Linked DNA regions of Cricetulus griseus. The protein of the gene in region 2 interacts with the protein of the main gene of each other region in a biochemical or structural test. Links are inferred from orthologs where the notes say so. Each region holds a gene or a part of one and is shown on either strand. Other genes may lie near its edges.

What was found.
Region 1: the proteins of Usp21 (region 2) and Yod1 form a complex in vitro, tested with the Homo sapiens proteins (2 studies listed by BioGRID, with this or other methods). The link is inferred for Cricetulus griseus from reciprocal best matches to the Homo sapiens genes USP21 and YOD1.
Region 3: the proteins of Usp21 (region 2) and Aurka form a complex in vitro, tested with the Homo sapiens proteins (2 studies listed by BioGRID, with this or other methods). The link is inferred for Cricetulus griseus from reciprocal best matches to the Homo sapiens genes USP21 and AURKA.
Region 4: the proteins of Usp21 (region 2) and Isg15 form a complex in vitro, tested with the Homo sapiens proteins (2 studies listed by BioGRID, with this or other methods). The link is inferred for Cricetulus griseus from reciprocal best matches to the Homo sapiens genes USP21 and ISG15.

What each region holds. Positions count from the first base shown.
Region 1 is NC_048598.1:58,326,188-58,334,598, forward strand, and holds the start of Yod1 (ubiquitin thioesterase OTU1), read right to left. Parts: upstream 4,514-8,411; 5' UTR 4,408-4,513; coding exon 4,347-4,407; intron 4,312-4,346; coding exon 4,045-4,311; intron 2,988-4,044; coding exon 2,284-2,987; 3' UTR 1-2,283. Other genes in the region: Pfkfb2 (6-phosphofructo-2-kinase/fructose-2,6-bisphosphatase 2), read left to right, coding at 7,372-7,468. UniProt on the Homo sapiens protein: Hydrolase that can remove conjugated ubiquitin from proteins and participates in endoplasmic reticulum-associated degradation (ERAD) for misfolded lumenal proteins.
Region 2 is NC_048598.1:21,588,631-21,595,683, reverse strand, and holds Usp21 (ubiquitin carboxyl-terminal hydrolase 21), read right to left. Parts: upstream 6,546-7,053; 5' UTR 6,340-6,545; intron 5,541-6,339; 5' UTR 5,520-5,540; coding exon 4,920-5,519; intron 4,186-4,919; coding exon 4,126-4,185; intron 3,952-4,125; coding exon 3,831-3,951; intron 3,621-3,830; coding exon 3,509-3,620; intron 3,321-3,508; coding exon 3,165-3,320; intron 2,668-3,164; coding exon 2,603-2,667; intron 2,411-2,602; coding exon 2,307-2,410; intron 2,129-2,306; coding exon 2,042-2,128; intron 1,787-2,041; coding exon 1,708-1,786; intron 1,496-1,707; coding exon 1,388-1,495; intron 1,300-1,387; coding exon 1,185-1,299; intron 989-1,184; coding exon 898-988; 3' UTR 627-897; downstream 1-626. UniProt on the Homo sapiens protein: Deubiquitinates histone H2A, a specific tag for epigenetic transcriptional repression, thereby acting as a coactivator.
Region 3 is NC_048599.1:6,973,348-6,981,192, forward strand, and holds part of Aurka (aurora kinase A), read left to right. Parts: intron 1-1,008; 5' UTR 1,009-1,013; coding exon 1,014-1,055; intron 1,056-4,594; coding exon 4,595-4,835; intron 4,836-6,346; coding exon 6,347-6,401; intron 6,402-7,010; coding exon 7,011-7,202; intron 7,203-7,845. UniProt on the Homo sapiens protein: Mitotic serine/threonine kinase that contributes to the regulation of cell cycle progression.
Region 4 is NC_048595.1:119,990-127,442, reverse strand, and holds Isg15 (ubiquitin-like protein ISG15), read right to left. Parts: upstream 4,654-7,453; 5' UTR 4,500-4,653; coding exon 4,497-4,499; intron 3,973-4,496; exon of another isoform or gene 3,851-3,972; coding exon 3,359-3,850; 3' UTR 3,310-3,358; downstream 1-3,309. Other genes in the region: Agrn (agrin), read right to left, coding at 1,043-1,249.

The DNA.
Region 1 (8,411 bases), about 37 Mb from region 2:
AACACTTGGAATGAAGGCTTTGAATTTTAAGACATCAGCACTCATTCTATTTCTTTACATTTACTAAACTAATCCTCTGTAGATAATGCAGACTCAAATTTAAAGTGACAGGAATTTATCTTCAAAAAATAGAACATGCCCTACACATTATAAGTTAATAAATAATTGTTACATGAACAAACTTCTGGATCCAAAATTTTAGAAACATTGAATTTGGATGCTCAAGTGGTATAGGAAGGCAGACTTTATAAATATGATGCACACAACTCGATTAATGGATGTCACCCAGTATTATATTTTTAATGTACAGTTTTAAATTAAATTATTTTATAGAGGAAATAAAAGAGATAAAAAAAATCATCTGGACCAAAGAGACTTTTGTGAGTCATTTACACATGTCACAAATGCCAAATGTTCAGTGTTCTAACTTCACTGGTGCTATATTTAAGGCTCAGTTAAAGAAATAAAACAAAACAAACAAACAAAAAAGGAACACAAAAATTAAGTATTTTCAATTTATATGACTATAATAATTGCTATTGCCTGACTGGCTATGTGCATAAAGGTTTTCAAGAAAGTCATCCGGTCAGGTGTGGCGGCCCCTCCTTTGTAATCTCAACACTCAGGAGGCTGAGGCAGAAGGACCACTTCAAGTTTGAAGAGCCTGGTCTATATAGTAAATTCCAGGCCAGCCAGAAACACATAGGGAGACCTTGTCTCAAATCAAGAAAGAATGTCACCTGATGAGTGAAGCATACTTTGTGAATCCTTCAATTGTTCTTTAAAGGAACTTTCTAAATTGTTCACTTTAATATTCCTTGATTTTACATCGTTACCACTACCAAGTAAAAGGCCAAGGGTTGACCTTAATTTGATAACATTTACTAAGATACACGGGAAAAGATGTAAGTGCTTTAAAGTGCACCGATGGTTGCCTGAGCTAAACAGTAAATCTGAGATTGAGATGACAAAACTTCACAACAGTATGCCTCTTTACATTGTATGACAGAGTACACAAACTGCAACTTAAAGATCCCTGATCTTTAGAAGAATTAAGAGGTAGAAAACTTTACCTGGAAGATTGTATAGTGAAGTTAAGTTTTGAGTGGGTGTGTCTTGAGGATTAATCCATCAAGCAAATGGCTACATATCTGATACTAGGTAGCAGGATTCTGAGAGAGCTGTATAAGGCAAGGATTTTAAAACTTTATATTTTAGAAGTGAAACAAACCCAATCAATTATTTAAAAACTGAAAGTCAAAGATCACAGGTAAACAAAGTACTAACTTGCAGATCAAAGTGGAGCTATGAACACTGTTATCTATGAAAAACACATTTACGAAATCAATTGACACCTTTGAGGAAGACTTGTTTGGAAGAAGTGCTTTCAGCAGGACAACTGAGGGAATGAAATCCCTCAAGACAGATTTAATGTAAAACAGCAAAAGAAAAACATCAAAACAAAACAAAACCACTCAAATTTGAAGATACTTTGAATTTTAAACTAAATTAGCAATTAAGAAGGCATACCCTGCTTCATTAAAAAAAATCTAATGTGACAAATACCAACACATGAATTGCATTAAAACATGAGGCCAACAGTCTTTTAAAGCTTCAGTAAGCTGCTTCAGGCACCTTTCCCCCTTATACATTCTACTTTATACACTAGAAAATCTCCAACAGGACCCCATTCCTGTTTTGGATAACATTCTCAAGGAATACACACATCCCTGTAAAATTGCTTTTTATGCATTTAGAAGTTGTTAGATACACTTATAAAGTCTACCAAATTGCAATATAAAAAGTTTTGACAATTCTGAGTATCTTCATCTGATGAATCAATTCAGAATTTAGAAACTACTAACTCATTCAAAGTTATTAAAAGGAATCAACTACTGGAGACACCGAAGTATATGTCCAGTGAACCTCTGCAAGGCTTTCCTCATTACCTAAAATATGATGTTTTCTTCTGTAAGTTAAAGAGCCGATGGGTGCTGGTTTATAATAGAATCCAGTCTTCAGGTTAGCATCAGAAGTGACCCAAGCCACCTATTCCGTCACCCTAGTAGAAAGAGGGCATGCCACTAGCGTAGACACACACCTGTAAACTTGCACACTAATTTTAATCTTAACAAGGAATTTCAGGGTCAGTCATACTGGTTTAAGTTAAAAGGATGGTCCAAGCATTGTGTTCTTCTATTCTGTAGGGTTATGAATAGCTTATTGGGAAACCCAGAGCCTTCTGGATCTGTGAGGTAGTAGGCTCCAACTCTTACGAACAGATCACACCTCTCCAAAGTTGGTGTGGCCTGTCTCCTTGGCATGTTCCCTTGCTTCCGCTTGTCCAGTTAACCCCTTCTGACACACCATGCATCTTAGGGTGAAGCGGTTTACATCAGTAAACTGTCTCTTTCTTTTAGCTTCTTCCGCTAACTCCAGTGCTTGTACAAGAACAATATCATCATTTGAGGAGAAAATGGTCAGAGGAGGAGTATCTGGATCAGAGAAGTTCCGCTGAAGAGGATCATAGTGGATACCGTCGTAGATGAGCAGAACCCTTTTGGTATATCCTGCATCTTCCCCAAAACGGTCAATTCTAACTGTCTGGGTATCTACCACACATATTTCACATTGATAGAATTTAGACAAAATTGATATCTCAATTGCTCCTCCCCAAGTATCATCCCTTTTGATCCATTCACAGTACTCTTCATTTGTTTTCCCCAGTATTGCCTCACTATAGAAGTCTGGGTCACTTGCTACAATCTGTGCTATGAGACGTCTCATGTCAGGGGCACAGGCTGGATTCAAGACTCCTCCTTCAACGACATAGTACACACTGGTAAAGAGGCAGGAGTTGTCTGCCGGGACTGCGGTTCTGGTAAGCACAGGCAAAGTTTCCCTGACATAACTAGGAGCACCATATTTTGAAAATGCAGGTGAAGCTTTTGGTCTGGTTTGGTCTTCTTCAACAATCAGCATGTCACCTGTTAAAAATAAAAGAAATCCAGAACTGCAGAGAAATTATAGACTGGGTGTTTATTAGCCAACTCCGTAGGTAAATTATGAGCCACATGAGTTAAAACAGGGTTACCAAGGAGAACTCGACTTTGTAAACAAGAGACCAGAAACACTTGTTTGTTTTTTAGTTCACGGTGTCTTCAGAAAGGAAAAGAGGAAAAAAAAAAAAATGCTTCAAGTTGCATCTCAACCTGGGAGACAAAAACCCTTATGTGAAAAGATAAGTTGAAAAACAAGCTGGGCAGTGGTGGCTCAGGCCTTTTAATTACCAGCGCTTGGGAGGTAAAGGCAGGTGGATCTCTTTTGGGTTCGTGGCTGAGTTCCAGGACAGGCTCCAAAGCTAACAGAGAAACCCTGTCTCAAAAAACAAAAACAAAAACACCCAAACAACAACAACAAAAACCCCTCCTGTGTTCTGCATTTTAAACCACGAATCTTTCAGATGTTAACCACAGACTAGGTAGGTCACCGTGGTATTTTCCTGGCACTTTGCACGACTATACATACCATTTGATGTGCAGAGGGGCCTTGCCACAGAATGGAAAGCCTTTTTTTTTTTTTTTTTTTTTTTTAATGATCAACACTGATATTCAAGTTTTAATACCGGGAACAAAACTGTACAGTAAATACAGTACAAGTAAGCGTACACGAAACAAAACTATAAAAACAAATTAACCGGAGAGAGAGAGAAAAAAAAAACCCAAAACACACCAATTGGTTAAAATCGGTTATCACAACTGCTGGCCTGCTGGTGATGGGGACAGAGAGAAATAGGGGTCCTGCTGTCCTTTGGGAAAGCAGAGGAGACAAAACGAATGGGGCGGTCTCGCGGAAGCCGGCTCAGGGAAGCGCGAAGTTCAAGGCTCCGGGCTCTCCTCCCTCCCAGGCAGCGAAGAGACTTGACACTTGCCCTGCCTTCCCGGACGGACGGACGGACGGACGGACGGAGCTGGGCTCCGCCAGGCCCCCGGCTGGCCCACCGGCACCTTGTGACCCTTCCCCGGTCCCGGCCGGTGCCCGTACCTGACTGGATGGGCAGGTCCCCGAGAGTGACGTCCCGGTCGCGGAGGTCCAGGCACTCGGGCGGGTAGCCGACGAGGATTCGCTGACTGCCCGGGGCGATCCCGGTGATCGCGGCGATTTGGCCCTGAAGTTCCCGTAAGCGGGTCCGGCTGGACAGTCCCTGCAAAACGTGAGTGCCACCCTTGGCCTTGCAGCGGAGCCGCCACATGGTGTCGGCCGGCCGGCCACCTGCGGGGCCAGCTTTGGTCCCTGCCGCAGCCTGGGAGGAGACGACGCCGCCGCCGCCGCCGCCTCCGCCGCCGCCGCCGCGGAGCAACCAGCAGGGGGGACTCCAAAATGGCCGCCTTTGGCGCCGCCAAACATCGCGAGAAGTAGCCGCTGTGGCGCTTCTCGCGTCACCTCGCTTAGGGACCGGCGTCGGTCCTCGGCGGAGCGCGGACGGTTAAAGTGCTAAGGGCGGCCGGCTGTCCCCGGGCGCTGCGGTGGGGCGCCCTGGGCGTCCGCGGCATTTATGCTGCGGGGAGGAGGGCGGGGAGGGAGTTCCCGAGTCTAGCAGAGCGGGGTGTCACCTTGCAGGGAGGTCGGGGATGATGAAAGCCGCCCTGGAGACACCAGGAAAAGCAGACTCATGGCTGACAAGGAAAACAAAGGTCACAGGACCTGCCGGACACTCAGGGGCGGCTGACGAGGCCCGAACTGATTCACCGGGGCTCACGGGACGGCACGACCGCACTCCTGGGTGAGACGAACCTGAAAGCGTCCATCTGCCACCTCAGAAAGACTGTGTGAGGTCAGCAGCCGTGCCCGGGGGCGGCGATGGCCTCACCCGGGGGCGGCGGCGGCGGTGGCGGCGGCATCAAGGAGGACGCACGCCTGTCACCGCACCCCCGGGGCCGCCCCGGGCGTCCAAAGCGGAAGACGCTTCGTTCCCGCACGGGGAGGGGGGACCACACGTCCTCATGCGGCTCAGAGACAGGGGACGGGGAGGAAGGTCATGCCGGACACACGGGCGGGTTTCCAGCCGTGTGTGCCGAGAGCCCGGCACGGCCTTGCCCATTAAAAAAGAAGAAAAAAAAAAAGTGCAGTAAACGCCAAATAATGACAGGGTTTGTAGCACGCGCGAGTAACGCACTAGGGCCGTGAAACGCATACTTGGACTGGCTGGAAGACGACCCCATTCCCAGGTAAAGAGGACACGAGTAAAGCCGCCCTGGTTCCTTCACGTTTCATACTTAACGTTGAAGCAGCAAGTTGCCTCCTCCCTCCCTCCCTCCCTCCCTCCCTCCCCGCCCGCTCGCCCACCGGGGACCGTCAAGTGCCAACGGCGTGCTGAGCTGACGGGGTAACCTCGGAAAGAAGTACTTCTGGAACGTGTAAAAAACAAAAAACAAAACAAAACAAAACGCCCGGACACAGCCTCTCCCTAAGCCTCTCCAACTGCAGTAGGCGGATCTCTGGGAGTTCGAGGCCAGCCTGGTCTCCAGAGCGAGTGCCAGGACAGGCTCCAAAGCTACACAGAGAAACCCTGTCTCGAAAAACAAACAAAAAGACAAAAAAAAAAAAAAAAAGAACCCACTGCAGCAGCAAATGTTATCCCTCTCCACCCCCCACACCAGGAGCAGGTGCAGTTTTCCTCCCTGGCTCTTCCAGATGACCACGGGTGACACAGTCTGGGTCGCGGCAGTGGGAGGACACGAGGGGGCGTGGCTTGGAGCCACCTGGGGCCAGGGAAGCTCGGGTTTGGAGCCTGGTTGGCTTAGGTTAGCAGTCAGCTCTCGCACCCTGGTAGCCAGCCGGGCATCTCTCAATTAAAAGCACATGTCTACCTCCCCGAGACTTGGGGAGTAACCTGAGCCTAGCTGGGGTTCAGGCGTGAAGGCGTTAATCTTCGCTCTTTCCCCAGTCAACTCCCACGCAGGATGTCAGTCAAATAGGTCTCGCGAGAGTAAGGGAAAAAAAAAAAAAAAAAAAAAAAAGGTAAGGCTTTTTAATTAACCCCGCCTTCAGCTCGATTTGTTCCTAAGCAACGACGCCACCAAGCTCCACTTGAGTCGTCGGGTCTGGGAGCCCGCAGCCCTAGGCGATCACAGATCCTCCCCGAGGCAGCCCAGCCTCCCCAGGAGCCCGCCTCCGGCCCTGCAGGTGCTCCATTGGTCCAGCCTGCCTCCAGGTGAGGGCTGATGCGCTGGTGGGCGGAGCCAGCGGGCCACGTGATCGGGGAGGGAGGGGGGGTCCGGGGCTTCAGTCTGTCGGCAAGGTCTGGTTCTCGGCGCTCCGGTGGCGGTGGCGACACCAGATCCACAGCCCCGAGGACGAATAGGGCAGGTCGAATAGGGTGAGCGATGGTTGAGCAGGATGCGAGGACGCGAGGATGGGGTGCTGCGCGGGCGCGGCTAAGGTGCTTAGCCCTTCGGGAAGTGTAGCTCCCCTGGCGCTCCTGGGGAGCTGAGCCGCAGCTGTTAGGACTGAAGGATTTGTGCTGTCAGGCGAGGAGCCGTGCAAGGGTTTTTTGTTTGCTTTTTTAATACGACCTTTTGTCTTGAGCTCCTTGGTATCTATCTGGGTTTGAGAAGTGAGACTCGGTCCCTCCTACCCTGTAGTTGGTATTAGGACCCAAGGCTTACTTTGTATGTAAATCATTTTCTTCCGCTGAGCCCCAGAGGGTGGAAAGGAGAGGGCAGGGAGGACGACTTGAGAATGGAGAACAGAGGAGGAGAGTGTAACACGCTAGGGATATCGCAGTCCCGTTACAATTCTTCCTTCAGAGAACATGTTTCTGCCCCTGGCCTCTCCAGCGTTCCCCTTCTCATTCTTCTTTTTTCCCGCTTCAAGACTGAGTCTTACCTTTGGATTGAGATTGCTTTCTTGACAATGCACTTCGCTTTTCCCCACCTCCACCTCACCTCTGATTGCCACCTCCGTTCTCTCCGTATTCTTAAAACTAGAATGTGAGGTCTAGAGAATTGGACAAACACTTTAGTCGGTTATCTTTGATTTGTCAGTTCTATAAAACAAACTGAAGTAATCATGATGGGAAAATCTGCTTTATTGAAAGATTACTGGAAGGCTTCCTGGATTTGAGATACATGAATGTGAACAAGGTCAACAAATAAATTCTAAGTTGGAGTGCAGCTCTATAGGTGAGGAGTCGGGTTTGTGAATTATCCAAGAACAAGTGCGCTTGAATTGGAGGAAGAGGCAGGATCTGAATCTTGGTAGGGACTCCTTGCTTGTATCACAATAATCTCTATTGTTTTTAGGGACACCTTCCTTCCCTTCCTTGTATTTCCCCTATCTCTTTTCCCAGGTGCCTCCTGAAGAACTACCATGTCTGGGAATTCATCTTCCACAGAACACAGAAGCAGCAGCAGCAGCAACTGTAAACCTCATACCTCAAACCTGCGGAAGGCAGGGAAGAAATGCTGTGAGTTCTGGTAAAGAGTGAAGGCTGCTCTCTCTTAGGAGTTTTTTTTTTTTTTTTTTTTTTTTTTTTTTTTTTTTGGTTTGGTCCTGGAAATGTATTTGTATCCTAGACTCTTGCTCTGTGGGAGTAAATAGTAATTCTTTGGCATGGCAATTTATGTTTTCCTTATTTTGTGACAGAGTCTTGCTACAGAACCCTGGCTTGTTGGGCACTTACTGTGTAACCCAGGCTGCCCGGTGGCTCATGCAATTCTCCTATTTTTTAGATGTGCGCCACTGTGTTGGACATGACATGGGATTAAAGTCTACAAAGTGGGCAATGTCTTATTCCAAACAAGTAGGGTTAGTAAAATGTGTCTTTGGAGCTTGACTGCTATGTGGCCCAGAGTTTCTTGTTGCTTTCATTGGATTTGGGAACACTTGCCTGATGTTGGATGCTAGTTATTACATACATAGGATGACAGAGTGTCAAGGTACAGGATTAACCTGGGGCTGTCACTATCTCAGTTTCCCTTTATCTCTTAAACTGTGTTCTAGAACACAGTCTAAATTGCAGGCAGAAGCCAGGCGTGATGGCACACACCTGTAATCCAAACCCTGATTTGATGAAGGCAGGATCAGGAGTTCAAGGTTGTGCTTAGTTCAGAGTACACCTGGGGTACTCAAGACATTGTCTCAAAACAAATAAACAAGCAGAAGTTGCAGGTAGAAGCCAGTACTCATCCTGCACCTCCAGGCCTGAGGGGAATGAGTCCTGACATGTGACTCTCAGTGTCTTGGGTGCCTTACATTCTTACAGGGTTAGCCTTGCATTTTGCAGATTCTTTCACCATAAGCCCAGAGATGGCAGAAATGGTGGCAGGGGAATGAAACATCTTTTCTTGTTCCTGACTTTACATTCCTCAGCAAGGCTCTAGAGTTCCTCAAAAGTCTGGGACATTGGT
Region 2 (7,053 bases):
AAGCCGCAGCCACTTACCGAGTCAGCTCGGTGGAACAGGTTAACCGGTTCATTGCCTAGGCTGACTTAGTTGTGATAACCGGTACTGCCTTCCCCAGGGGCCAAGACAGAGAAAAGCCGAATCCCGGAGTTAGCATTCCCCAGCTCAAGCTTCCTAGGCCCGTGGTGAGAACCCTGGAGGGCCCCATGAGCCTTGGCTGGAGAGAGACACTTGGAGGCCCGTCCGTGGGGAAGTAGCGCCATAAACAGCTCTTTGATGTTAGCAACAGCCAGGCCCTACGGGAGCTAGGGCCACCCGGCAACGAAACCAGTGTTTGTCAACAGGGGTTCTTGGGTGCCTTGCTCTCGAGGGGCAGTTCCCCTCTCCGCCAAACCCGGCGTGCCAATGCCTGCACTCTAGCTTTAGGCTTCTCCGAGGCTTCACAAGTCTCAAGGCCTGTCTTCTTAGTATACCACTAAACTGTTAAGGCACAAGTGTGAGTGAGGCCTACTCAATCCCTGTTCTTTTCCTTCTGCTCTGAGAGCGCCCCCGCCTGTTCAGAGACGGAACTGGGTCCAAGAAAGATCCAATTGAACCAAAGTCTGGAAGGATATCCATTCCCTCTTACCCGCAAATACAAACGTGAACACCGTTTTCTTAATAAATTTATTCACAAAAAAAGTGAGATTGCAGAGGTTCTGGGGGCTGTACATGGTCAAGGGCCTGGTGAGCTCTGTACAAGGGACAGGAAACAAGGTGGAAGGGTGCTTCTTAATAAAAAAAATAATGGGAGCTACAACCAACCCCCCCTCCCCGATTAAAAAGACACAAAAATAGACGTCTCTGAGGTAAATGGGGAGCCTGGGGGCTTGAGGGTGTTGAAAAGGTTTTCACAGGTGCCAGGGCTTCAAGGTGGTGTCACAGGCACCGAGGTGGCTCCTGCATCAGTTGGTAGAACAGCACGTAGCCCTCACTGGATGCCACCTGATTTTCACTGACAGGGGAGACACTACAAAGAAGGGAAATGGGGGATGGCTGTAGTCATTTCTGTGTATTTCCCTCCTTCCTACAAGAATCAACCTCAGAGAACCCAGGTTGAGCTCGGGAGAGAGACTCCACCTGTCCTTTGTCAGGATCTCATCTTTTGGGGCCTCATAGGAGCTGCAGTGGGATGGGGCAGGGGTTGAATAAGAGGCTGTTCTCACCGGGAGTCGTTGTAGACATGCCAACCAGTCTGGCACCGGCACAGGGCTGTGTAGTGTCCATAGTGGACACTACCCGAGTGGTTGCAGAGGGCATACAGCTGGTAGACAGGGCTTCCTGTGGGTTAGACAAGATCAGTTGCTACAATCAAGAGTTGTGTCCCTCTCCTGGAGGTTCCTTAGGACATTTCCCCCAGCGGACTCACCGGCTTTGTCACTGGCAAAGTCCCCTAGGCTCAGTCGCTGCAATGGGAAGTCAACACCTACTGAACTTTTCTTGATGGAGCCTCGGGAGGTGGAAAATCGATTCAGATCTGAGCCCTGGTTAAGGAGCATTTGGGAGGCTGAAGGTCTGGAAGGGAGCTGAGGTAAGAAGTTCAGTACCCTCCATTCCCCCAACGTGTCCTGGAAGATGGCAAAGAGAGTTGGGGTAGCAGGTTTTTCCCAAGGAAAACTCAGTGAAGGTGAGGAAACAGAATGTATGGGAGATATCCTAAGAGAAATAAGAACTGGAAGATTAGGATATGGAGCACGAGGATTCGGGGGAATCTTTGTACTGTCAGCTTTTTGGTACTTCGTGTTTTCTGCCGGCATCGGTCACACACCTAAATAAACAGCAAACAATCTTAGGTCAATGTGCTCTCACCTCGGCTGGTTTTTCTGACACCCCAATACCCATATAAATTTAGTATGCTTCTCATTGCTTTGCCCTGCCCCCTTTAGCCCAGGCATACTACGACATACCTGAGATGCTAACACACACCCAGACATGTAACTGCTATTCCCATGCTAAGGAAGCATGCATCTCCTTTTATTCAGACAGACCCCCAAGTCTCCCACCATTATAAACCCCTACATACTGGGGCATTTTCTGACTCCAGCTCTTCTTCCTTGGTGAAAAGGCTGAAACAATCCCGCAGAGACACTTTGCCCCCAGCAAATCCTTTCTGGGGGGAGGGGGAAGTAAGGGTCAGCATCTTCTGAATCCCCCCCTTTAAAATCTTTTATCTTTTCATAATCCAGGCTTCAATTCTGCTTCAGAGACCCACATAGTTCCCCCATACACGTAGGGGTGGGTCACAAAACCCATGTTCCATCCACCCCTGGAATCCTCTGGAATCCCACCTTGGGGATGGGCAGGGACAGGTCACAAAAAACCTCGAAGGTCGTGGAGCGATACCCACAGGCCTGGCACTTGAGGCAGCTTTTCAACTGGCCCACAAATAGGTCTAGACAGAAACAAAAAGGCAGGAGGAAAAGTCACCGTTGGATGCCTGAGGTGCTCTCTCAGAATCCTGTCTCTTCCCACTCCTTTGCTGCCACCCAACTCTCCACACCATCCCATATCCTCATCATCCAGCTTTGTTCCCCTTCCTCCTTCTCCCAAGCCCGAATCCCCACTGCTCTGCCCCGTTCCATACCCACAATCTTGCTGTCTTCTCGCTCCAGGTAACGCTTCCACATTAAGTTGGCTCGATCGTCATCACTACCACAGATCAAGGGAAGGGAGAGGGTACCGTGAGACAGCTGTGATACTGGGTAGCCCCACCCCAACCATTGAGATTATCCACAGGGCCCTGATCCCGACCCACATACCAGCTCCTTCCCTAGATTTCTAGTCAAAGGAGTAATATTTTTCCAAGAACCTTCTGGGGAAATCCAAGATGAGAGGAAAAAGAATATGCACGAGGGGAGAGTGCCATCCGTCCTCTACAAGCACCACTGGTGTGTTTCATTGTAAAAGGTCCCTCCTTTCCCAGTTTAGTGGCATTCCTAACACTGTTTTATCCCTCTATCTTCATCCTTCAGCCTCACCCCCTTCCTTTCATCATTTCTTATACTTTCAAACTATTCCCCCTCCTTTGTTAAAGGGTCTCCCCCAGGCCCTACATTTTCAGTTTCAGTTAGCTCAGTTCTTTGAAGACTGAATGCTACTGGTAGAACCACAGGGGAGAGAGAGGAGCAAGGGGGAGCAACCCTTACCTCAATTCAGGTTCTTCATGCAGAGCCCCTCCTCGGCGAGGTGGAGAGGGAACCGGGCCACTGGCCAGGATTGGTGGTGCCCGGCGGCCTCGTCGGTTGATTTCAAGGTGTAACCTTTCCATGAGTAGCTTCAGAAACTCTTGGGCATCCTGCTGGCTACAGCCAGACAGAATATGGGTAACTGATCCCCTCTTAGTCCACAGACAGTATTCCCTGCCCAAATATGGGTCCCTACTTCCTCAGTGTAGAAAATGTCAAGGCTCAGAATCATGGTGCTGTAGCCACTGCTTGGCCCCAGCCCCCGATTTGGGCAGAAAGAAATTCTATCCTCTCAGTTTCCCCACCTGTATCCAGAGAAGGAGGGGACGTATTTCTGGAAGACAGCCCGGAACCGAGTAGGATTCACAGCTTCACAGGAGTCAGGGTGCCAGAGGGCACCAATCACATCCGCAAAGGCTGTTGGTGTGACAGTGACACAAGGATTAATGTCCAGAAGAGCAGGCAAGAGGAGATTCCGGGGATAGAAAGCCTCTAGGAATGGAGGAACTGGAGAAACAGCTGTTAACTGTCAGATTGGAGGGGTGGGGATCATAGGTACTGGGGGACAGAATTGAAGGAAGGGGGTGGGGGAAGAGAACAGAAGAAGGGACAGGAATTGGTGCCCACCTTCCGTGAGCTCCTGGGCTCGGCCTCCTCCAGGCACCTCTTGCCGGAAGTCCCTTCGAAGACAAAAGTCTCGGAGAGGCCTAGTGCTGCTCAAACACTGTAGCACGGCGTTGAGGAAACACTGGGGAAGCAGTAGGGACGCTGCCATTACCTTTCAAGGCTGGTGCCCAACAAGCCTCGAGGGGGCCTCAGGGCTCTCCTTCTACATGCCTTCCCCAAATCCGCAGGTTGTCTCCACCCCCCAACACCATTTCACATTCCTTCTACAGAGAAAGGACAGGAAGATGGCTCTTACTGTATTTCCCAGATTTCGGAGGCCAACATGACCAGAGCCCAGGAGCAGTGTGTGACGAGCCTGGAAGGTCAGAGTACAGTCATATTCGACTGGCACTTTCAATAACATGTTGATGGATGTCTCCCCAACCCCCTGCTCACGCCCCAGCTCGAGCCTCTGTCCCTCACTGGTCTTCCTACCTCATTGGTCATGAGCAGTAAACCCATCACAGCTGAGTGTACCACAGACTCAGCCATGGCTGTCACACCTATTCCCCATTTACTCCGCTGGCCGGCCAGCCGGCGATGCAGCTCCTGAGGCAACTCCTCAAGCACTGGCATGGTTGCCCAGCTGCTCCCCACCCCCACTTTACTGCCCCCAAATCCCCCTCCTGCCCCCGTGGCCCCTTCTTGCACCCTCTCCTGCTGGCTCCAACTGCAAGCAGCTTAGCTCACTTAGCTGAGGAAATGTGTAACCATATCAGCAGGTGCTCTAGCTCCGCCCCTCCTCAGCCCAGGGATTAATTAGGTCTAGGCCCAGTCCTAGGAGAGAAGTTGCCTTAAAAGGGCGGGCCTAAGGACCCAAAGAAGAATTCTAAATAGTTAGGTTAATTCCCTAGGGACCAGAAATGTGGCACACCAAATTGGAGAATCACATACAACCCAAGATAATATCTAGAAGGCCTCGGAGAGAAGAGTCCACTGGTGCAATGAGGGGTTGACAAAGGGACTCGGAGCAGGGAACAAGAAAGCCATACATATGGCGGCAAGAGGAACATGAGCATGGGAGACCAACACGTGCCGGAAAGTCCTCACCATCTTGTCATCAGAGTAGAATGGCTCAGAGGGCCGGGCAGGTAACACGTGGTAGGAGCCATGGGAAGCAGGGGGCTCGGTCCGTATGCTGAGCAGGGTAGGGGGGCCAGGGAAGCCCCCAAGACGCCGGAGAGAAGTGCTGCGTCTCAAAGTGGGTGGCTCAGGTCGGAGTGCCAAGCGGCTCAGTGCGGCCCCTAGCTCGCCAGTGCCACGGTGCCCTCCCAAGGCAATCCCCATTGGACGCAAGTCCCCGCTGCTCACAGACTTGGAACGGGCTAAGTTGGTCCGGGATGGGAGAGGCAGAGCCACAGTTGGGGGTGGTGAGCCAGGCAAGGGGACCCCATGATCTGCTCGAAGGGGGCCTCTAGGACGAGAGCCTGAGGTCCGACCCCGACCCAGCTCCACTTTCTTGAGCCTTTCATCCGGGGGACCTGGCCTGGGAGGCAAAGGTCGTAACACGGAGTTTGGCCCAGGAACTGGGTTTCGGCGCTCCTTGCTGCGGGCCCGGGGAGGAAATGGTATCTTGGCTCCCACTCGGGGCTGTACATTGACAGGTGGCTCTCGAGTTCGGCCCAAGCGGTGCTCAGAAGCCTGGGGCATTGTGGACACCGCAGGCTGGACCTGGGAACAGAGGGTCAGTCAGCATTTGAATTAGTAAGGGAGATAAGACATAGGCTACCATGCAAGCTGGCTTCTACATGTACTGAGGGCATGAATCACGTCTATAAAATCAGTTCTCGCATCCCCAGAACTTAGCAATGTTTGACACAAGGAAAATACTTAGTATTCCTTTAATAAATGAATGACTGAATAGTAGCCCATCATTTTGGCCTTTCACGCCCCACCCCCTCTCTATAGACTACAGATTTACTGAAAAGCACTGGCAGTCCCAGACTCAGCTGTTTTCATAATTTACAAACTCCTAAAAATCCTCCTATCTGGCTAGTCAAGTGTGATATGCCTCAGACCTGGGACCGTGGATGCAGGAATCGGCATTCCAACCTCAAGCCCTGCCCTTATGGGTTGCAAACGAAGCCGATTAAATGGGTGGTTTGCAATCCACTCCCTCCTCCAGTTCTGGGCCCCCATTTGCTATGTGGGCTCAGGGAGCAATGGTTTGGGATGGAGGACGAACTACTTGACCCCTAAATTCTGCACCTCTCCCACCACCACGGCGAGGTTTTACCCGGGTCCGCCCCCCTCGAGGGCAGAAAGGCCGAGGCCGCTGATTGGCTACAGTGTCCGGCGGCATAGTCCCCGCGGTCCGAGAATGCTGCTCTTCCAGCCTACTTCCCCCAGGCCCCGCTGGGCACCGCGAGCCTCTCCCTTTGTGGTGACCGTCCTCCGGGGTCTGCATCCGTTCTCCCTCAGCTCCCCCACCCCACCCCACCCCACCCCGCCTTAAGGTCCCGGCCCATACCTGTGCCCCGGGGAGGTGGCGGGGGAGGCCAGCCGGGGTCCAGCTCCAGCTCAGGGCCACCCCCTCCTAACCCCGAACAGCCTCCCCGCGGGCCGGGCTGCAGCTTTAGCGGCAGCTGTAGCCCAGCTTGCTCCCGCCGCAAGGGCCACCGCCATCTTTGTTGGTGCGGCCCGGCCACCGGCCACCGGCTTCACAGTCCCCTAAGGCGCCTGCGCGCCCACACTCGGAATCCTCCCACCCACCTCCTCGGCGCTTGCGTGAGCCCGCCCCCACGGCTCCCCGACCGACACCATGGAAACGCAGCCAACTTTAGAACCACTAGTTCCCGGCCTTGCCGGATGGTGGTCTTTAAACCATTGCCGCAAGTCCCTGGGGTCAAGGTCCTTCATCCCGTCATGTGGTTCATAGGGATGAAGAGCCGAAAACTGGAATAACGGAAGGACTTGCAACAGAGACTCTTTCCAAACAAGAGGGAAGCAGCATGGAAAGCTGCATGCGGGTCCGCGTCCAGCCTGAAAACCAATAGAGAAGCATTTAACACTCCACCTAGGGATGGGAGATCCCTAGTGGGAATAGAACCCTGAACCTGTAAAACTCTTCTTCCAGCTCCTTTGCAGGCTCAGGCAGTAAGGAAAGCATGGCTCACTGCTAAAGGGAAAAGCAAATCTCAACAACAGGGAGATAGATTTTCTCCCATTTGTTAACCCTTGAAAG
Region 3 (7,845 bases), on a different chromosome or scaffold from region 2:
CCCATCACTTGGGAGCAGGTAGAAGGACTTCTGAGTTCCAGACTACCTAGGAGGGCTACACAGAGGTACCCCATCTCAAACCAAACAAACAAAATCCTGGCTCCACTGCAAATGTAGGAAATAGAAATATCTTAGGGATAGGATCCTGGTATAGCTAATCATGGGAAAGCTAAAATGCAGGTCATTTAGCCAAGCTGGCATCTGGTCCCAGGGCTCCGTTTCCTACAGGCTTCCTACAGGTGAGGTGGGTACAGCCCCAGTCCTTCACTTAATGCCTCCATCTCCTGCCTAGCCTCCCCCATCTTTGCAGTAGGGGCTTTTCAATAACACGCAGGTGTTTGTCCTGACTGCAAGCAGGTGTTTGTCCTGACTGCAACCCGTATCTGAAAAGGGAAGCCCAAGGCTGATTCCTGCTGTGTCAGGAGAACTTTTCTTACATGGAGTTGTAAATCTTGGCTGAATGGGATCTGTGAAGGTCATCTGATGTAGATGAGAAGGCGAAGGACTGGGATTAGGGGAAAAAATGAGGCCAAGCCAGGAGGGTAGGAAGTGACAGCTTGCAAGGTAATAGATAAACTGGGAAATGGGCAAATGTGATTGGCTGAAACCTGTTCCCCAGGAATCAAGTTAGTGCTGGGTTTGCCACCGTAGGGGAAGCTGAGAGACTGGCAATACCGTGGGATTCAAAAGGCCCAATGGGAATGGCTTGGGAAAAGAGTAGGTGAGCTTTGTTGTTCAAGGGTTATGGGAGATGGGACCATGGCCTGGGGTAGCTGTGCAGCAAATGGGTAACCCAAGCAGGCTGTATATGCTGGGCATCATGTTTTAGAGCAGAAAGAACAAGCCCAGGAGGGAAGAGAATGAGAGGATGTGAGGAGCTGGGTGCAGGATTGTCAGTGGGAAGTGTGAGGTTGCAGGTCACAGAGGCCTGTCTGTCAGAGGCAGTGACTGCGGAGCACAGCAGTACGTGGCTTCCTGTCAATGAAAGGCTCTTGTTTCTCTCTTCAGGTGACATGGACAGATGTAAAGAAAACTGTGTTTCCAGGCCTGTTAAGGTAAAAAGAATTACCTGTAATCACAATTGAATTTTGAAAAGTTGTTTTGAAATGAAATGCATTTTGTTTGTGTGCACCCATTGTTGTAATTTAAGAAAAGCAGCCTTCAAGAAAGATGGCATGAGACAGGGTTCAAGCAGAGAAGGGCTTTTTATTAGGGAAAGAGATCATAAATAGGGGAGGGGGAGACAGGAGCACCAGCAGAGAGAGAGGGAGGGAAAGAAAGAAAGAAGGGTGGGAGCTGACAGCAGCTGAGGGCGTATCCTGTCAGAACAGGCCAAGGATAGATGCCTAAATACTAATATTCCTCCCTCTTATTATAAAAAGATGAGTCATTAGAAAGGGGTAGCAGGTGAGGTGGGGATGAGACCATTGTGTTTTCAAGACTACTTCCTGCTGACCTGGGGGGCATCGTTCATCTTTGGGGGACCTAGGAAAGCTGGGGTGCTAGCCATGTCCTGGAGTAGCTGGCTGTTTCACTTCACTGTCCAGGCTCTGTGGAACCATCAAGGTGCCTCCTGAACCTGGCAAAATGCCGTTCTTGGTGAATCCAAATCAACACCCTAGGGCGTAAAGCGCCTGGTCCTTTCCCGTCACCACAGCATCACTGGGCATGTTTGGTAGTCTTGTGCCTCCAGCTCTACGGCCAACACCTGGTAGTACTGCAACAGTAGCCGATTAGGAATGGTCCGTGGGTCTCCAAAAACATCTCAATAGGAGCAAGGAGGCATAGATGGTGACACAGCTCCCATGAGTGAGGCAGAGAGTAAGACCCAAGGGTCTGCAATTCCTAGCATCCCAGGAATTCAGAGAGGGCCAGTTTCGAGACTGGCACAGGCTGTCACTCAAAGGGTGGGGGCCAAGGATTCTGAGCCTGAGAGATACAGTCGTCTGGTACCCAGACTCCGGGAAAAGCCAGAAGGCGAGGAAAGAACTGTGCTGGAGAAATGTCTCACATCTCTGGGAATGGTCAGAAGTGGATAACCCCACCAGAGACCCATTGTTGGTATGGATGGAAGACAAAGCCGTCAGATTTGTTGCAGGTGGGAGAGAGTGAAGGAGAAGCAGTTGGGTAGGGTCCCAGCATGAAGTGATTACAGAGTGCTGGGAAGCGGTTTTGGCAGGCGTATTCCACATGAGTGAGACAGAACAAGATCCCGTGGCTTTTTGGGGCGCTGGGGTTTGAGACACGGGATCTCTGTGGCTTTGGAGGTTGTCCTGGAACTAGCTCTTGTAGACCAGGCTGCTCTTGAACTCACAGAGGTTCTCCTGCCTCTGCCTCCCGAGTGCTGGGATTAAAGGCGTGCACCACCACGACCCAGTGATCCAATGGCTTATCAAGTGAGAAAGGCACAAGCCGATTTGGTGATTTTGTCTGTCAAGGGGCAGGGGCTAAAGTAACAGAGGGTCTAAGACTGGCATAAGCCACCCAGTGGGTCATCACACAAAGGGTGGGGCCAAGGACTCAGAGCCCAGTTGTATCAGGATTTAACCAGGCCAAAAGGCAAGATACCTTTCATAAGACAGAGGAGTCCTCACTTGTGGGAATAGCCAAGGTGGGGAAGGTGGAGTGGCTCACCAATCAGGATGATTTTGGATGGAAGTGAGGTTGTCGTTTGTGAACCGGGTTCTAGGGTGCTGGCATGCCTCAAACTGCCTTCGGGCAGGAGGAGATGCCAGGAGAGCATTTCCTGGTTAGGGAACCAATGTTGTAATTTAAGAAAAGCAGTGCAGACTCAAAATGGATGTCATGAGACAAGGTTGAATCAGAGGGTTTTTTATTAGGGGGAAGGGATCATAAAAAGGAGAAAGGGGGGGGAAGAGGTGGGGGAGGTGGGGGGAGACCGGAGACCGGCCTTTGGAGACAGGAGCAGCAGGAGAGAAGAGGGGGGAGGGAAGAGGGGGAGAGAGGGGGATGGGAGGGGGTGGGGCCTCTTAAAAGGGAACATAGTGAGTGTGCACACGTGGTGCTCTCAGTGGCTGCAGCTGAGGGCGAGTCCTGTCAGAACCCCAAGGGCAGGCCAGTACTGGTACCTAAATACTAACACCCATGCCAGAGTGTGTTCTTTTTACCATGTGGGTTGGGACTCTAACCCAGGTTGTCAGGCTTGGCTGCAAGAGCCCTCATCCACTGAGCCATAGGGACAGTTCCTGTGAAAGTTGTTCTGGTGTTCCCTTTCCTGACCCTGCCTGGAGCCCTCTTGTGCGGTGGCCTCCATTTCTGCAGGAGATGGCTTTGCACTTGCAGCCTCCTGCCGTCTCAGTGGGTGGTGAATCCTGAGCCTCTTTTTAAACAGAAGCAAGTCCTACTTACAGTGCAGTGCAGTAATAATGATTCTTCCAGGAACCTACATTTGTTTCTTCTGTGTCAGAGTTCCCCTTTTTTTCCTATTGAAAACTCAACTTCTTAATAATTTCTTATGCATTTTAGTTTTGGAGATTACATTCCTCCATCCCCCCATCACAGGGTTTCTCTGTGTAGCACTGGCTGTCCTGGAACTCACTCTGTAGACCAGGCTGGCCTTGAGCTCACAGGAATCTACCTGCCTCTGCTTCCCAAGTGCTGGGATTAAAGGTGTGTACTTCCAGGGCCTCCAAACCCTGGGTGGAGATTACATTCTTAAAAACTATTTCTGTTGGGTAGGGCATGGAGGGCACTGCACTCCTTTAGTTTCAGTGTTTGGGAGGCAGAGGCAGGCGGCCTGACACAGAGTCTGATCTGTTTTGTACAGTGAGTTCCAGGCTGGTCAGGACTATGTAGTGAGGTCCTGTTGGTTAAGTACTCTTGAAGTGAAATCAGGGAATTGAACAGTAATGCCATTAATCATCTTATAGAAAACTTGCATAACCATAAGTTTAGACTGCTTTGCAGAATTGCTTGCGGATGATGGTACTGGGTACAGTCATGGGTTTCCTTCAGTCTTTTTCCTAAACAAAATCCTAACAAGGTTTTGATAACAGTTGAGTCTGCTGCTGACAGATGGGCTCACTGAGGCTGGTCTAGGGCTCAGTGCTTCTCCTGCCTCAGCCTGCCAAGGACTGGGATTACAGGTGTGGGCATTACAGCATCCCTGGCATCGTAACCTTGCAGAGGCCTAGTTCTCGAATGGTTAATAGAGCAGGATTTGGGGCGAGGGTGGGAGGTGTCCTCACTTTTGCCACACACACTTTAAAATAGCTTCATCTCCCCCTCCTTTTAACTTTATTTTAAAAAAGATTTGTTTATTTTATGTGAATGAATGCTTGCTTACATGTATATCTGTGTACCATGTGTGTGTCTGACACTTGAGGAGGCCAGACGAGGGCATCAGAACCCCTGGATCTGGAACTACAGATTTTGAGCCACCGTGTAGGTTCTGAGAACCGAACCCAGGCCCTCTGAAAGGGCAGCCAGTGGTCTTAACTGCTCCGTCATCTCTCCGGCCCCCATTTCCATTTATTATCCACCATGTTTATGAGTTTTGTTAGATTTACAAAAGAAACTTGGTTGAGTTCTCAGGGTACCATCAGTCATAATGCCTGCTTTCTCTCTGTCTCAGACCACAGGTCCCTTTGGTCCAAAACGAGTGTTGGTGACAGAGCAGATTCCTGCTAGCAGTGGCCAGGCCCAGCGTGTCCTATGTCCTTCCAACTCCTCCCACCGTGTCCCTTCACAAGCACAGAAAGCTGTCTCAGGTCAGAAGCCAGTGCCAAAGCAGTTGCCAGCTGTCAGCGTTCCTCGGCCAGTATCCCAGCTTAGTGACCCCCAGAAGAGTGAGCAGGCATCACCTGCGGACTCTGGTAAGCCAGTCTTTTCACTGCCTTGGATCGTCATTCTTTTAGCTGTTGCTCAAAAAGCAAGTGGGTAGATTGGTGTTTATCCTTTGATGCCCTAGCTTCTATACCGTGTCTGCTGAAGATGAAGAGAAGATGGGATGATTATAGATGTAATTGCCGGCCCTGCCAAGGGGAAGCTACTGGATGTTCTTTGGAGCAGAAGGAATTGTTGCCTGTAAGGCAGAGGCTGCTGCTGCTGCTGCTGCTGCTGCTGCTGGTGTGTCTGAGAGCAAGGCTGAACTCAGACGGCAGTGACTGGAGCAGGGTTAATGTTGATGATTAATTAGCAGCTCAAGAGTGCTTGCTTGCAAGATCAGAGATATAGCCTAGATCTGCATCCCCACAACCCTTACAGCCGTTTCACGTAGACAGCCAGTTATTGGTACACATCTACAGAAGGGGCTAACACGCAGCAGCTAACTTGTCTTGAGAGGTGTGGGTGAATTTGCTGCCTCATTTAGGAAGCAGATTCAAGATGATTGGGAGGTAAGACTTGGAGGATGTGTGGCAGCTGTAACAGTGTGGGAAGAGAGAAAACTTGAGCTGGGTCCATATAAGGGGATAGAGGAGTTTGTAAAGTAAGCCAATGGCAGGCAGGCAGTCTGGAGGAAACCCACTTAAATTGTGTACATATATACTGGTCCCCCGAAGGGTGACTGCGGCAGGGTCAGATGGCTGAAGCTTATGTAGGATCCTGAGCTCCAGCAATGGAGAGGGGCCTGGGTCCTCCAATGGAGAGAGAGAGGCAGCTACCAGCTGGGAAGGACAGAGGAGCGGATGCAGCCTTTTAGCCCGCCCACTTTGTCCCCTTGCTGTCTGTCCCTTAGAAGTGCACCTGTGTCTTTAGGGGTCTTCTGGGCCTGCAGCTCCTGATTGGCAGGACAGAAGAGGTTAAGGTGTATTTTGGGTAGCTTCTTCTGGTCTCCGGTCACATTGTGGAGTCATGGTCCTCAGCCCCACAGTGGTGAGGGGAAGACATGACATGAGTCGAGAATGAATCCTGAGGAGACATTAGTTTGGACTTAGGTCGGCTGCCCCCACTGCAGGTGGAGAAGGTGGCTGTCGGTGGCAGCTTGAGGATGGAGATGCTGCTGCTGGTTTCTCTCTGGAAGCTCTTTCTGGGCAAAGGCTCCAGCAAGGATGGACAGTCCTGGTCTTGTTGGAGGGGAAGGGGGGCCTGCTCATATTTACCTTAGGAATTATGAGACCCCATGTGGCAGGAGTCAGGTTACGGGCTGTGGTTTCTGATTTAGTAGTCTCCCCAGGGAAGAAAATGAAAGGCTCAGGTTTATCATGCTTGATAAACTCACAGAGATCCAATCCAGCCTCTGCCTCCTGCGTGCTGGGATTGAAGGTGTACACCACCATGCCCCGCTATGGGACTATCCTTTGACTTATCTCTGTTCACAGACTTCTTTTTTCTCTAAGAACTATATAGTTGCTCTAAAAACAGTATTTTAACTTATTTCATATAGGAAATAATTCTGAAAACGATCGGGCATCAAAGCAGAAAACAGAAGACTCAAAAAAGTAAGCTTTCTTCCTCATCTCCCGGAGTACCATCTGGCTGCAGGCCACCATCCCCATTAAAGCAAATTTACCAGGGGACCCAAAGTTCTTTAATTTTTAGTTCTTTAATTATGCTTTTCATAGAAAATTTTATTAAAACTTTATCATTTAAAAAGGTAGTAAATAGAAAAACACCACACGTTAATATGCAGCACCGACTGGAAGACTAGACAACTCAGTGAACTTCTACACAGTTTGCGAGGCCGTTTGGAATGGCCTGTTGGGTCTGTCCTGGTTCACCTATGACAGTGGCTCTGTATCTCACACCAGAGTGACTCTGCCCCACAGCCTGTTGGCTTCTCTGGGGTTGTGCAGGGAGGTCCTGCAAGGGTGTGCTGTCTGTACTGTTGCTGTCCTGTGGTGGTGAGGGTTGTCTGTATTCTGGAGTGAGGGCTACTTTGGGCTGGGAAGTTAGCCTTTAAGGTTTGTGGCTCATTCTGGTGGTTCCGGTTAGTGCTTATTAACTGTATGGACTGGATGTAGTTGAGCATGAACAGGTTGGCAGGTTGACTGCTCATTGGCAAATGGTAGAGGTTTTTTCGTATTTTAAATGTTCACATTACTTTTTAGGAGGCAGTGGACTCTGGAAGACTTTGACATTGGCCGCCCACTGGGTAAAGGAAAGTTTGGAAATGTCTATTTGGCAAGGGAGAAGCAAAGCAAGTTCATTCTGGCCCTGAAGGTGCTGTTTAAAACGCAGCTGGAGAAGGCTGGGGTAGAACACCAGCTTCGACGGGAGGTGGAGATACAGTCCCACCTTCGGTGAGTGCTCCCCCTGCCGGAGGAGGAAAGGGAGCCAAGCCAGTGTGACTGCGCCCCGCTCATCTCGGGGCATTTCCCATAGATGCAGGGACGTGGCCCCAAGGAAAACATCACTCAAGCTGTTGACTGGGCTTTCTTTCCTCGGGGTGGGGGGGGAGGGCAGAATTAGGGGAGGTCCTGGCTAAGTCAGTGCATTTTGTTTTCTTCTATTTTCCCTTTCTGCTTTCAGTGTTTTCCAACTTTGATTCAGGGGCCAGTCCTGAAGCTCTGGTCTCATCTGGCTTGTCTGGCCTGCTGTCACCTGGCAGGGGGGGAATGGGGACCGTGAGTGGTGCTGTCACCTCCGGCAGGCTGCCCAGCCACTTGGCACCTGCCCATTGCCGGCCCTCTGCCTCGGTCGGTTATGTTTCCCATTGGCAAATCTCATGCCTGAGAAGAAACTCCTTCCTCCTCAACACACAGAGACTGGTGTTCAGCCCACAAGTCCCACTAAGAATAAAGACATCTCAAAGGGAGCAGTGTGAATGAAACCCATGTGTAAGGTGTCGTTTTCTTTGGTGGGCTCAGCATCCAAATCTCGTGTGTGCTCTGACACATCCCGTTGGGTTTATTTCCTCAGGGTCACACTCAGAACACCCTGAGT
Region 4 (7,453 bases), on a different chromosome or scaffold from region 2:
GCAACACCTATGGATTTGAGGAACCTCATTTACCTGCCTGCCACCGCCCCCCACAACAGTAAACTATTGAGGGAGATAATCCAAACGGGGGGAAGCTCACAGTTTTCACACCTCCCCCACCCCAGCCACACCCAGGAGCAGCGGGGAGGAAGTCGGGAAAATCCTGCAGGGACTTGGCAAAGTGCCTTGGCAGTGAGAGGAGGGGGGCCCAGCCAGGGGATCCCATGAACACACGCTACTCAGAAAGTCACCATCCTTCCCATAGGAGCAAGAACGATCCTATTTCTAGTGAAGTGGTTTGAGGAGCTAGGAGAACCAGCAACGGGTATTCTGAGGTTACCCACTATACCTATTCCAAGGTGCTTTCAAATCCAGCTTTAGTTGAAGCAGAGTCGACTCTTCTACTGTATGGTAGAGGAGACCCAGTTCTTCCAGGAGAACTGAGCACCTGCCCTTGCTCTCTGTGCACGGAAGACTCAGCCATAGTTCTCTGCCTATCTCTCTGCTCTTGCTTCACCGAAACCCAATCACTGCAGCACCTTACGAAGGCTCCCTGTACTTGTGGATTAGACTAGGCACCCTTCCTCTCCGCGGACCACCCCTTCTCGCCCTGGTAGAGGGCCTCACCACAGTCCGAGTTCGTCCCCAATTCACACCTCCCCAAACCCTATTCCTTTCCTTTGACGAGAGTGTACACTTGTTTTCAACAAGAGGGGCTTTGGACAAGGTTGGGGGCAGCCACCACTGCAACTAGGGCCTGGGCACCACGAGAACAACCACAGCGGCCCGGCAGTAACTTTCGCCCGGAGCTGCAGAGTTTTCCGGGACCTGGTGCCCCACCCGCAGGCTTGGCGGTCGCCAAGGGAGCTCGAGCTGGAGCTACAGAAGCGTTCCGGTCTCGTTCCCACGGCTTGGGGCCGGGGTCCCAGCAGGGCGGCCAGCACGCGAAGGGCGGGCCTCGGGGCTGGGAACCACGGGGGAATAGGGCCCCCGGCTGGGATTCCAGAGGGCTGGGGTCTCGTGGGGTTTTGCCGGGGCCCACCTTGCACGAGTACGTGTGCTGCACCGGGTCCACGTTGAGAATCTCCTCCACCGTACCGGTGAGCACCACATTCGCCTCCTCCTCGCGCCGCTCCAGGGCGCGCTCCGGGCACGTCCCGCTGGCGCCGGGCAGAGTGCGCTCGGCCACCACCAAGAGCAGCAGCAGTGGTAGCAGAGGGGCCGGGCAACATAGCCGCAGGCTGGCCATGGCGCAGCCTAGAACGGCGGAAGGCAGCCGGGAGAGCGCGCGGGATGGACCGTTCAGGGGGCAGGACAGAACTGGACCGCAGCTAGGCGGAGGAGGTGGGAGGGCGGACGGCGTGGGGGCGGGCCAGGGGCGGGAACTGAGCAGCACCGCCCCTCCCCCTGGGAGCTCGGCCCGCCTCCGCTCCCTACGACCAGCGCGGGCAGCGAACAAAGCCCGGAGACTGCGGCGCCGAGCTGAGGCGGGGGCCTCAGCTGGGTGGGTGGCAGGCCGCCTTGGGGGAGGGGAAGGTGGGGCGCCAGGCGCCCTTCCCCCGTCCGCCCAAACTGTCCTCCCACCAGGAAATGCAGCTGAAATCAGGTTAATGTATAATCTAGGGACGACGTGCCGGGACTTCCAAGGGACTCGCCGGGAGCGGCAGGGTTCTCTGGATAGGAGAGGCTACCGGAGCTGGACCTCTCTTTCCCCTTGTTTCGGCCCCACAGCAGGATTGCTCAGAGCTCCCGCGGCCTTAGGGCCCCGCCATAGGCTCTAAGGTGGACTAGAGGGACTACGCCCCCTGCCGGTGGCCGGTCTGCGGTGACTGGCCTGAATTGCGCTCAGACCCGCCTACCAGCCCTCTAGCTTGGTAGGACGGTGGGATGCTTCTTATCGACCTATGGCTACCTTCTCTTGTCTTGCTGCGGAACCTACCACAGCTCCTCCTCCTTCCCCTCCCCCTCTGTGGACCGGCGCTTATCCAGCTTCGCCTGGCTAGGTACAGGGTACAAACTGAGGCCCAGGAGAGCTAAGCTAGCTCCGGATCTACAGAAGGTTGAAAGAAAAACAGAAGACAGCTCTGTCTTCACAATACTGGGATTGCTGTGCCTGGGCCACAGGCCTTTGAACCAGAAGCTAGAATAAAGTGTGTGTGGCAGAAGCGTTTCCTCCTGAAAAAGGTACTACCACCAGGACCCTGACAGGCTTCAGGGAAGGGGGTGGTCAGTGAAGGTTTGGTATCACGTCTATACAGTGGACACCAACACCCTAGATCTGGAGTCACCTGACCCAGGTATGCACAAACACACCAACCAAAAGTGGGGGCTTCTGAGTCTCCACTCAAATTCTCTTTAAAAGTCTGAAGGTTGAGCCGGTCGGTAGTTGCCCACGTCTTTAATCCCAGCACTCAGGAGGCAGAGGCAGGTGGATCTACTGAGTGAGTTCCAGGACAGCCTCCAAAGCTACACAGAGTAAGTAACCTTGTCTCAAAAAACCAAAAACAAATAAATTAAAGTCTGAAGGTTGAAATGTTATGGTCCCCCAGGACCATAAAGGTACTTGTCCTGACTTGCTTGTGCCTTAGGCTGCCTCAAAGCATGAGTAAGTAACTAGAGTAGGAAAAGACAAGAGAAAGGAATATCAGGCAGGAAGGGGATGAAGGCTTTCCAATTGGGTGCCTCCTATCTGAGATAGGATTTCCTTTGTGGACAAGTGAGGCCCCGAATCCAGGTGCCCCCTTACATGCCAGTAATGGCCCTCTTTATAGCCCTGATGAGGTGTACTTGCTAAACACCCATGTCCTAAATAGCAACTGGTTGATGTGAGTAGGGAGGCCCTGCCCTACCCTTCTGTGGACTAGTGCTGGTGGGACTAGAAACACCCACAGAAAAATACAGCACCCTCCTTCACAACCCACCCAGGCAGGTCCGAGAACATTCCTTCACTATTTCCAAAGGATCTGGGGAGCAACTGGTCCCATTAGGAGCCTCATCCTATTACTTACAGACCTACCCCGACCTGTCCCTAAGCCAGATACAGAGATCAGGACTAGTTGTTGAGGGGCTGGATGAGTCTCAGAACTGGGTCCCAGAAAAAGTGTCTTTCTCTAGATGTGAACTACCCAAAGGGTTTGGAAGGGGAATTCTCTGACTAGGCTCTAACTGTGAAATCCTTGTCCCTTAGCTTGGCAACATAAGGCCTTGTCACAATGGATGGACTTGGGTTCTTTCACCTGACCTCAGCAGGAATGTAGAAGAGAAGGCAACTGATGGACATTTTTGAAGGACAAGCACAGGAGGCAGAACTTCTCATTGGATCACCTTTTATTACCAACATAGGCTATGGATAGAGGCCTCAGGCATAGCATACCCTCCTTACCCCCCCACCCCGAAGGCGCAAATTCATGAACACTATGCACTGGGGCTTTAGGTCATACTCCCCCAGTGGCTGTTGGTCCTCCATGGGCCTTCCCTCAAAGCTCAGCCAGAATTGGTCCTCCTGTATGTGCTCCTTCTGGGACACCTGCCTCTTAAGCTCTGCTACGGTCTGTGTCAGCCGGACCTCATAGATACTGCTTCGGCCCCGATCATTCCGAACCAGGATGCTCAAAGGGTTGTTGCAATTCTGTACAATCAACATGACAATGCTGTCAGGGCCCAGGCCCTGGCTGATGAGGGCAATGTTCTCTTGTAGCATGTTGCCACTTTCATGGGCCAAGCGTTGCTGGAAAGCTGGAACACCAGTCTTGTGGAAAATCTGCCTCTTCAGTCCCGATAACGTCATGGAGTTAGTCAGGGGCACCAGGAACTCGTCACCCCCCAGCATCTTCACCTTCAGGTTCCAGGTCTGCAGGCATCACATGGGTTTAGCAATGATTCTCAACCTTCCTAATGCTGCTACTCTTTAATACAGTTCCTCATGTTGTGGTGACCCCCAACCATAAAATTATTTTCATTGCTACTTCATAATTAATTTTGCTACTGTTATGAATCATAATTTAAATATCTGATATACAGGATATTCTATATGCAACCCTTGTGAAAGGGTCATTTGACCCCAATGGGGTCTTCACCCACAGGTTGAGAACCACTTTAAAGGTTTAAAGACTCCTCTGGCACCAGTACTGGTAGTTACTACATCTGAAGCACTGGTCACAGGACCAGTTCCCATACCCACCCCCATCCTCTCCTCCATCAGAGGGGACCATCCAGGTATGGGGATGATACAGAGGAGTCAGTTCTAAAGGACCAAACTCCTACAACCATCACATTTCAGTTTACCCACCAAGATATCCTTCTGGGTCCAGCCCTAAGGGATCTAGGGCTGGTAGCTGAGCAGACAAGGAACCTAAATCCCTCCCTCATAGTGATCTTTGAGCAACTATATTCTGTTTCCACACTGTGACTATTCTACCTCTTGAAGACCCTCTCAAGGAATGGAGGAAAGCCAACTAGAATGGAAACCATCTGCTCCTGCCCCAAATAGGACTCACCATGGCTGTAGGCTTTATCACTAGGTCCCCTGCAGGAACTGAGGAGTTTGCTTGTTGAGGCTTCTGGCTGCTCTCTCTCTCACATCCAGAGACAGATGTGTGAGAGGGCAGCTCTTTTAAGTGTATGAGCTGTGGGTGTCAAGGGGCGGAGTCAGAGCAGCCTTCTGTTTCGGTTTCATTTTCCCAAGGCATACCTTAAATGAATGGGAAAACCAAAACCAAAGCCAAAGGAAAAGAAACTGTAGCTGAGAAGAAAAGGGACTGGCTCTCCAGGGTCAAGATCACAACTGAGACCTGTGTACTATGAAACCCCCTAAATATCCAGCATTTCAGATCCTTTATAAGGCATGTAAAAGTCATAATAGGAACTAATAATAGGAAACTTATTTTTCATTTATCAGCTTGAAAATTAGTTATCTTGGAAAAATGCCACAATAATTAATTCAGAAACTGCACAAAGTAGTGACAATCAAAACTGCCCAAAGACAACAACTATTGGTTATTTGTTTAGGACAATAATTATTAGAATGTACTGGGGGGGGTTATAGGAAGCATTTTGTTGTTGTTTTCAGACTTCTCTGTGTTGCCCTGGGTGTCCTAGAACTTGCTCTGTAGACCAGACTGGCCTCAAATTCACAGAGATCTGCCCACTGAGTGCTGGGATTAAAGGCATGCACTTCGGCCACCACCACCATCTGGCCAGTAGGAAGTATTTCTATCCTAGGACAATTTATTAAGACCTTATTGTTTACATGAAGAGGTAATAATTGAGTCAGATGGTTTTTGAGCTAGTCCTTCTATGCAGTCCGTGCTGACTTCAAACTCACTATGAAACTGGCCTTAAACTGATCCTCCTTTCTTTCCTGTCCAAATCCTGAGATTACAGTTACACATGTTCTATGCCAATTTCTGCAGTGATGGGGAACCCAGAGCTTCATGCATGCTAAGTAAGTACTCTAACTACTGAGTTATATACTTACTCCTCAGATTTTTTCCTAAGGTTTATTTTTAATTATGTAGATTGGATATGGGGTGTGGGTTCAGATGTGCATATGTGAGTACAGATGCCCTTAGAGTCTAGAAGAAGGAATCGGATATATAAATTTTGTTTATGTATTTATGTTGCATGTATGTATGCATATGTGTGCTTGTACATGTGGAGGTCAACATTAATGTTGAGTGTCTTCTTCAATTACTTTCCACATAGCCATCTTCCCAGCCCAATAGCAAACATTTTTAAAGGAGTAGGATCTTATTTTTCTTTCCAATGACTATATGAATGAAGACAGCCCATTTCACAAGTTAACCTTAACCATCAGTATGGCAACCAGAGATGGGATGGAGTTCCTGAGGCCTCTTCCTTCTATGTCCCCTGCTTGTCTGGTTTTCTTTCTTTTCCTTCCTTCCTTCCTTCCTTCCTTCCTTCCTTCCTTCCTTTCTTTCTTTCTTTTTGCTTTGTTTTTCTGGACAGAGTTTCTCTGTGTAACAGCCCTGATGGATCTGGAATTGGCCTTCAACTCACAGAAATCTGTCTGCCTCTGCCTCCCAAGTGCTGGGATCAAAGGCATGTGCCGCCACCACCGGGTTTCTTGTTTGGTTTCTGCAGTCTTCAGAGAGCAGGGGGATTCCACATAGACTCCTTCCTCGGGCTCAGCATAATGCCACATCTGAGAACATAACAGCCCAGCCTTGCTGTCAACCCCAAGGCATGGGTGTGTGTGTGGGGGGCACGTTGGACTTCTGCTCTCCACTTATCTCCAGTCTTAGAAGGAGTGGCTTTTGAGGTATAGTTCAGCACTGGGATCATAAAGGAGCTTCCTAGAGCTGAGAAGCAGAATTCTTTTAGGTATAAACTAGGACCAGACTAGAACTGGCCTCAGAGAAAGAGAGACCACTTCTGGGAAGGTACCTAGATATGGTCCTTTTCAGGGATTCTGGAACAGGCATTCATTAGTGGCCACCTTCCAGCCATCAACCTCACACACTAGGCGGATGAAGACTTTTTCCAGAACCAGCTGGCTTACTCTGTTATCTAGAAAAGCTCCTCAGAGTTCCCCAGACCCTTTCTGGGGTCAGAAGCCTCTGTCCTACAGTCCCTAGAGTATCCCTTCCCTTCTTCACTGAGTTCCCTTTCTAGAATACCCTGGGAGTGTCATTCCCTCTACTTGGCCTCTTAAAAGCTTCCTTCTCTCTGAAGAACCAATTGTGAAGAAGTGGCATTTTCTCTAACCCAACAAACTAGTCACTTACTTTCTGTGGCTTACTAAGACAGATTTGAAACAGAATTAGGACATTTAGCCTCCACTGTGGTCTCAGGGAACCACCATTGAGTTAATACAGAGTGCCAGTGCTAGTCTGTGATTGTAATGTCTGTATGCCCTGCAGTGTAACTCAGAATGAAAACAATAGCAACCATGAAATAATAATGGCCCTTTTTTCTTTTTTTTAATTTTTAAAATATTTATTTATTATGTATACAGTTTGCTGCCTGCATTTGTCCTTGCAGGCCAAAAGAGGGCAACAGATCTCATTATAGTTGGTTGTGAGTTACTATGTGGTTGCTGGGAATTGAACTCAGGACCTGTAGAAGAGCAGTTAGATGAGCCATCTCTTCAGCCCACGGCCCTGTTGTTCTCCTTTGAAAAACACAGATTTTAAATTTGCCATATTTTGGGGGTGGGTGTTTTGAGATAGGATCTTACCATGTAGCTCTGATTGTCTGGAAACTTATTAACTTACTGTGTAGATCAGGCTGGCCTCAGACTCACAGAGATCTCCTTACCACTGTCTCCTTCATACTGGGATTAAAGGCATGTGCAACTACACCCTCCTTGCCTTTTTTTCCCCCCTGAACCTAGTTAGCAGTGGGCTAATGCAGAATATTATCATTAGCTCTGTGACATCATCCCATCTAGTTTGTATCACCACTGACATCTTTATCCTTACATTGCATGAAA